Linked DNA regions of Cricetulus griseus. Each later gene encodes a partner of the first gene's protein in a complex. Links are inferred from orthologs where the notes say so. Each region holds a gene or a part of one and is shown in the gene's direction. Other genes may lie near its edges.

What was found.
Region 2: Nup153 (region 1) and Cetn3 share a complex: the UniProt entries of both Homo sapiens proteins name them as parts of the nuclear pore complex. The link is inferred for Cricetulus griseus from reciprocal best matches to the Homo sapiens genes NUP153 and CETN3.

Annotation. Positions count from the first base shown.
Region 1 is NC_048596.1:266,416,754-266,420,315, reverse strand, and holds part of Nup153 (nuclear pore complex protein Nup153), read left to right. Parts: intron 1-774; coding exon 775-1,000; intron 1,001-3,562. UniProt on the Homo sapiens protein: Component of the nuclear pore complex (NPC), a complex required for the trafficking across the nuclear envelope. Functions as a scaffolding element in the nuclear phase of the NPC essential for normal nucleocytoplasmic transport of proteins and mRNAs.
Region 2 is NC_048595.1:302,231,430-302,235,624, forward strand, and holds the start of Cetn3 (centrin-3), read left to right. Parts: upstream 1-1,355; 5' UTR 1,356-1,473; coding exon 1,474-1,490; intron 1,491-2,686; coding exon 2,687-2,822; intron 2,823-4,195. UniProt on the Homo sapiens protein: Plays a fundamental role in microtubule-organizing center structure and function. As a component of the TREX-2 complex, involved in the export of mRNAs to the cytoplasm through the nuclear pores.

The DNA of each region.
Region 1 (3,562 bases):
TGCCTTGGTTTTCTTATGGCACTGGGGAATGAGCCCAGGGTCTTGCCCTTATAGACAAACAGTACTGTGGAGCTGTGTCTTTTCATTCATGAAGTGCCGAATTCTCACTATATAAAGTGATTGTATTAAACTTACAGATATTTGAAAATTGCTTAAAAGAGTGCCCAGATCCCACTATAGCTGTAATGAATGTCAGCTGTAGTATTATGTCATTGTTTTTCCTTTAGAAGTTGCCATCCTAAGCTTAATTTCTCAGATTTTTAAAGGAAAGATTTCATAATATAAAAGATTTTACCACCAAAAAGAGGTCTTAGGTTATTTCTTGAGTTTGAATTACATTGGATTAGTTTTCTTATTTCCTATTTTAAGAGGGATTCTTCTTGCTCTGTTTAATTATTTTCTCATTTTTGTAGTGCTGAGGAATCTAAACCCAGGCCTTAAGCACAAGAGGCAAGCACTCCACCAGCTGAACTGTATCTCCAGCTTTTGTCTTTTGAAGAATGTGACACAAAATAATAGTTGAAATGGTTTATATTGTGTCTTTTAACCTTCTAAGGTACAGAAGGATGAAAACATTTACTGCCTATTACTAAATCTAGATCTTGGTTAGTTGTTGGTTCATAAAAACAGTATGATGCCATAATGTGATGAACTGAGTTTTAGTAAATTTTGTTGGAAACACTTGTGTTTTTTGCTTGGCATGACTGTCTATATGTACTTAATGACAAAGATAGATTTTCTATAAAATAGTCTTATTTATGTTTTTTCCAACAGGGCATTCTTAGCAGGGTTACGGAATCTGTTAAGAATATTGTTCCAGGGTGGTTACAAAGATATTTCAACAAGAGTGAAAATGCGTGTAGCTGTTCAGCAGATGCAGGTGAAGTTCCACACTGGCCGGAAAATAGAGAAGATGAGCATGTAATTTATACTGGTGAGGACAACACGAACATTGATGATGGGAGAATTACTCCTGAGCCAGCAGGCAGTAACACAGAAGGTAAATAGAGTGTGGATATTTGGTGACAAATCAGATTTTCGTGTCTTAATTTTAAGATCTTTATATTACCTGGCTATGGAGCAATCCAATTGAGTGATGTATAAATCCTGTGTGTATATGGAATCAGTTTTAAAGTGAGTATGTTTTATTTAGCAGTCTTAAATTATTTTGTGGGGCTGGAGAGATGGCTCAGTGGTTAAGAGAACTGACTGCTCTTCAAGAGGTCCTGAGTTCAATTCCCAGCAACCACATGGTGGCTCACAGCCATCTGTAATGAGATCTGGTGCCCTCTTCTCGTGTGCAGATATACATGGAAGCAGAATGTTGTATACATAATAAGTAAATAAAATAGAAATCTTTAAAAAGAGCAAGCTGAGAAAACCCTGGGGAGTAAGCCAGGAAGCAATCAATATTCCTCCATGAACTCAGCTTCCAGGCTTCTGCCTTGACTTCCCTGGATGATGTAAGCTGTAAGATGAAATCAACCCTTTCTCTAAATTGATTTTGGTTGTGGTGTTTATCACAGCAATGCAAACCTTAACTATGACACTAAGAACACTAGATGTATAATTTTCTTCTAAGTAACCATTCTTACAAGCCCATCTTACTGTTTCTCTTTATAGGCCAACTAGATAGGAATATACATTACTAATTACACCAACTGTCACAAGGCACACATCTATGTCAGTCCAAAAATTTTTTTTCTAGCAAAATTTATCAAAACACAGTAAAAACAAAACCACATTAACTAGGTCAGTGGTAGGGCCTTGCTTAACATACCATCCTCATCTTCTACCCTCCAACCCTCTCCCAAAACAGTGGAATATGCACAGAAAGATAAATATTTTTGCAGCATCTTCTTGCCAAAAGCCACAAAGTACTGAAATTATAAAAGTTTAAGCTGCAAGTCTTAGTTTTCACTGATTTATCAGTTTCCCTTAATGAACAAAAAAACTAGTACAGTTTGATAAGATGGATCAGTAGATAAAGGGGACTTGAGTTCAATGTCTGGGAAACCCGTGTCAAAGGAAAGAGAACTGACTCCACCACAGTTGTCCATTGATCTACACAGAGAGAGAGAGAGAGAGAGAGAGAGAGAGAGAGAGAGAGAGAGAGAGAGAGAGAGAGAGAGAGGCATGCTGTCCCATGTGCACAGAAGCACAAAATAATAATTTATTTTTATTTTTAAATTTTTTTAAAAGATTTTATTTATTTATTATGTATATAGTCTTCTGCCTGCATGCCAGCAGAGGGTACCAGATCTCATTCAAGGTGGTTGGGAGCCACCATGTGGTTGCTGGGAATTGAACTCAGGACCTCTGGAAGAGCAGTCAGTGCTCTTAACCTTTGAGCCATCTCGCCAGCCCTCAGCTTGCTTTCTTATTGTACCCAGGACCACCATTCCCAGGGATGACACTGCCCATGGTGAGCTGGGCCTTCCCACACCATCAAGGGAGCAAATGCATTAGCTGGGCATGGTGGTGCATGCCTTTTATCCAAGCACTCTGGAAGCAAAGGCAGGTGGATATCTTGAGTTCCAAGAGAAACCCTGTCTTGACCACCCGCCCAAACAAAATACCAAAACGAAAGAAAATGCACAATAAGCTTTGCCCATAGGCCACTCTGGTGGGTGCATTTTCTTAGTTGAGGTTTCCTTTTCCCAAACGACTACAGTTTTGGTCAAGTTGATGTAAACCAGTACCAATAGTACTCAGTTTGGTATAGTCTTTGTTTTTTGGGGGCTGCCATTGTACACATTTTGGGGTGAGGGCTCGAGACAAGATTTCTCTGTGGATCCTTGACTGTCCTCTAACTTGCTCTGTGGACCAGGCTGGCCTTGAACTCACTGAGATCTACCTGCCCCTGCCTCCTGAATGCTGGGATTAAAGGTGTGCAGCACTACTCTCTTTTGCTGGTTTTAGGATAACTTGAATTTTTTTTTTTTTTAAGATTTTATTTATTTTTTTATGTATACAGTCTTCTGCCTGCATGCCAGCAGAAGGCACCAGATCTCATTCAAGGTGTTTGTGAGCTACCATTGTGGTTGCTGGGAATTGAACTCAGTACTTATGGAAGAACGGTCGGTGCTCTTAACCACTGAGCCATCTCTCCAGCCCTGATAACTTGAATTTTGATATCTGAACTTTTCACAATTTCTTTTCAAATGTTATCAGCAACACTATTGAGGCTTTATCTGGTAGATCTCTAAGGTGATTGCTTCAACTGAACTTTCTTGCCATCAAATGGGGCCCAGGCTTTCTGTCTTTTGATGAGATTTCTGGTAAGCACTAGTGTATCTATAGTAGCAGAAGGCCCTTTCCCAGTTTGATGAGCATATTAGTAAGGAATAAGTAGCCTGAGTTTCTAATTTTATATCTGTAAAATTTTAACTATGTGTGTTGTCTTATAATGGAATTAGTAGGAGCTTAGATTTTATTCATTAAATTACTAGGTTTATTAGGTAGATTGCATTGTTTATCTTTGTGTATTTTAAATGCAAATTATGGAGGAAAAACTATAGAAGATGATGCTACGGTGTATTCCTGATATTGCTTCTTAATG
Region 2 (4,195 bases), on another chromosome or scaffold:
GAAGTGATTTCATTTTATGTATTAGAAACATCAAGTTTATAAGTGTGTGTGTGTGTGTGTGTGTGTGTGTGTGTGTGTGTGTGTTTGTGCCACAGTCATGGCACCTGTAGTCAGTAGACAACTTTTTGGGGTTGGTCTCTTATTCCACTATGAGTTTCTAGCAGGTTGCAGGTGGTGGAGATCAGACTGGTATAGAAGTGCTTTTAACCAATGCACTATCTTTGCTGGTCTGTTTAAACTTCCCTTTTAAAGGCGTAACTAAGTAGTAATAGTTTGTTTCTTTTACTTCCCAGGAGTCTGAAATTTATGTGTTGTAAGAATAAGCTTAATATTAAATGAGAGCATTTTTATCGATTTATTATTTCTATCAAGTTCCTTTGAAAAAAATCATCTCACATTACCAGGCAGTGGTGATGCATACCTTGAATTCCAGCTCGTGGGAGACAGAGACAGGAGGATCTCTGAGTTTGAGGTCAGACTGGTCTAAAGACTTGCAGGATATCCAGGGATGTTAACACTGAGAAACCCTGTCTCAAAAAAGCAACAACAAAAACAAACAAAAATTGTCTTGTTATTTTTCTGTAATTTATTCCTTCTAATTTAATTTTGTCCTTTGTTTCAAACATCTTCATGTAAATGGTTTATTTTCAGATTATCTAATAATTTAATATTTAATAATACCAGGTATTTTATTTGGTGCAAACATTCGGTTAAATGGAAAGTAGACTCCTGACTTTGATGCCATTCAGTTTAGCAGGTGAATGATCCAGGTGAGCTTCAGGAGGCCTGGTGGGTAATGAAGACCATGGGCACATAAACAGTGTTCAGCACTAGAAAATACAGGACAGAAGCAAACAAATACATCTCAAATCGCACACAAGTTGAAAACGGTGGTTTAGGTAGTTTTTCTGTAAATAAACTAACAGACCAACATAATGATGAGCCTACTTTAGTTTGTCTTCGGCCTTGGTGGTGCACATCTTTAATCCCAGCACTTGGGAGGCAGAGGCAGGCGGATCTCTGCGGTTGAGGCCAGCCTGGTCTACAGGGTGAATTCTTGGAATCACTTGGAAACGTTGAAAAGGGAAAACACTTGGTGGCTTAGTAGTTACTGAAATAAGAATGGAGAACAAAGCCCTCAGATTTACGTTTTGACCTTCTGAGTGGCAAGGGCTGGATCCCCAGTGACTGCTTGTGCTGAGCATTTTCCCTTCCCCCCCCAGAGCGCCCGAACCCAGCGTGGTGACTGACACCGGCAGCAGGGCCAAAGGTACTTGATTGACACGAACGGTGACCAATGAGAACAGAGGGCCGGCGAGGCTCCCGCCCCAATGGGCCGACTATTGGCAGTCTTCAGCCAATCGCAACCAGAAATCTCTGTTTGGTGGGTGGTCCCGCGGCCGGGAGGTTGGTGGCTGTTGAGCGGTTCCCGTGGAAAAGTCCTTGGGCGGAACATCTTGGCCGGAAGAGAAAATGAGTTTAGCTTTGAGGTCGGTAACGAGGAGGCCGTGTGTCCATTCCGCAGAGGGCCAGGGCGGGCGCGGAAGGGAAGCCGGGCCGGGCGCGGGTGCAGAGCGCCGAGCATCACGGCGGTGCGGCCCTTTTCTGCGGACTGCGCCGGCGCCGCATCGGGAGCCCAGTCTCGCGAGGTTTCCCTCCTGCGTGTGAGGAACTCGGGCCTGGCGGCCTCCTTCCTTAGGACAAGCGTGGGACAGCCAGGCTCTCTCCGCGGTCGAGGCGCCCTGTGCGTCGGCCGCCCCGGCGGATCTGGTGCCCTTGATTTCCGCCATTCTCGTCCAGGCACCCACCTGGCCCACTGGCTCCCATTGGCTCCTCACCCTGTCCATCTTCACGTGCAGGCGCTGTAGAGTGGGTAGACGCTGATGGCCCGGCGGGGGTGTGGCCCGGCGTGGGTGTGGCGGGCGGCCACCTCTGCTCAGCCCCTGCCAGCCTTCTGCCCTTCAGGTGTAAAGAGCCTACACACTCAGCCGTGTTTCAGGCTTTCAAGCTTCCATTTCTTAAAACCTAGCGGATACACGTGTTGTGCCTCATTTAAACATTGGCAGTCTTTAAGGCAGACGTTTTTGGCCCTAAATCCCTTTTTAGATGTTCTTTTACGCTTCTCCAGAGTTTTTAAATGAAGACGTTTAACCCATTGTTTATAGGTTGAGACTGACAACACTTTTAAACATCACACAGACTCAAATAGGAACATTATATGCTATTATTTTGGTCGTCTAGTATTTGTTTAGGTGCTTTTATATTTTGGCTGGTTAATATGGAATGAAAACACAAAGCACTGTTAGAAATGTATAATCTGAAAGCATTTTGAACTTGCAGTGTTAAAGTGACTCACCTTATAAGCTTTATGGTTAATCTTTGTAGTAATTGTGAGAATTTAATTAGAAGCTGTCCAAGGTAAACCATATATCGTGGTTGTCATTTGTGAAATTTACTTTCACATGGATTTTTATATTTGTTTTCATGCTCTTGGTAGGTAACATGAATAACAACTAATAGTGCTTTGGATTTTGGTATATAAAAGTACATTTGGAGTACAAGACGTTGACTTAGGGACAGCTTCTTTATTCTCCAGACTATTCTGCTTTGTTGAAGTTTAGAAAACCATTCTTTGTTCTAAGTGAGTTGGGTTGAAGTGGACTAAACACATTTTCCTGTGTCACAGAAGTGAGCTTGTAGTAGACAAAACAAAGAGAAAAAAACGAAGAGAGCTCTCTGAAGAACAGAAGCAAGAAATTAAAGATGCCTTTGAGCTCTTTGATACCGACAAAGACCACGCAATAGATTATCATGAATTAAAGGTAACAGTGTATTTGATGACACATCTCTTTTGTTTAAATGAATTGCACTTTTGACTGTTGCTTTAAAGTCTATTTTAAAAACTTGTTTTAGAACCCTGAAGCTGTTTTCAGTATCCACTTACAGGGGCTGCAATAAAATTGAATAAAAAACCCTAATATGGCTTTTAGAAACTCGTATTTAAATGTAAAAGTACATTTGGTGGGAAGTAAGGCTTTTTCATTCACCCAGGTGAAAGAACAGTTCTTAGCTTATTCTTCCCATTTTTGGTTTCTTCTGGAGGACGGAGTAGCTCAGATTCTTTAAAAAAAACATGTATGTGGCATGTGCATGTGCATGTGCCTGTGCAGGCATGTAAACCACATTGTGTAGTGTGTGGAAGGCAGAGTGGGGCTTTGTGTATCTTTCATCACCATCTACCTTACTGCCTGGAGACAGGGCACCTCACTGAATTGGAAGCTCATAGCCTAGGTTGGCTAGAGAGTGAACTCTGGAATCACATCCCGATCTACCCCTCAATGCTGGGGTTACGGACACTTGTAGCCATGCCTGTCTTTATGTGGGTGGTTACAGTTCCAGTTCTGGTCCTCGTGAGTGCAGGACAAGCGCTCTTATCCACTGAGCTATCACTTAAGCACAGCACAGACAATTTTCAGATTGAGAGAGTGTTACCTTTGCTCAGATGTTTCCGAGATTGAAAATGTATCCTTTCAAGCTTTTATTATTTATCTTTATTTTATATTTTTGTTGGACAAGGTTTCTTTATGTAACAGCCCTGGCTGTCCTGGAACTCAGCTTTGTAGACCAGATTGACCGAGAACTCAGATTTGTTTGCCTCTGCCTCCCAAGCGCTGGGATTAAAGGCATGCAACACCACCACCTGGCTCAATCTTTGAATTTTCAAAGATAATACGGACAAACTCTTATTTTTCTTTTCTTTGCTACAAAGGATGTACATTGTCTGATGCCTTATGTTGATACATGCTGAGGGACTATGTCAAATTTAAGGCTTAAAATTACTAGTAAAGGAGCTGGGCGGTTGTGGTGCACACCTTTAATTCCAGCACTTGGGAGGCAGAGGCAGGCGGATCTCTGTGAGTTTGAGACCAGCCTGGTATACAAGTTCCAGGACAGCCTCCAAAGCCACAGAGAAACCCTGTCTCCAAAAACAAAAACAAAAACAAACAAACAAACAAAAAATCCAAAACTACTAGTAAAGATTGGAGAAATTGGTGAGGATCTTATTCAGTCTACTAGCATTTATGAAATCTTTTAGTAGCCTTAATGTTTATAGTAGTTTTAATTCGGCAACATTGTAGGGGGGTTTTAAGCAATCTAAGTATGGGTAGGAACTATGTAGTGAGAGGATAGAATG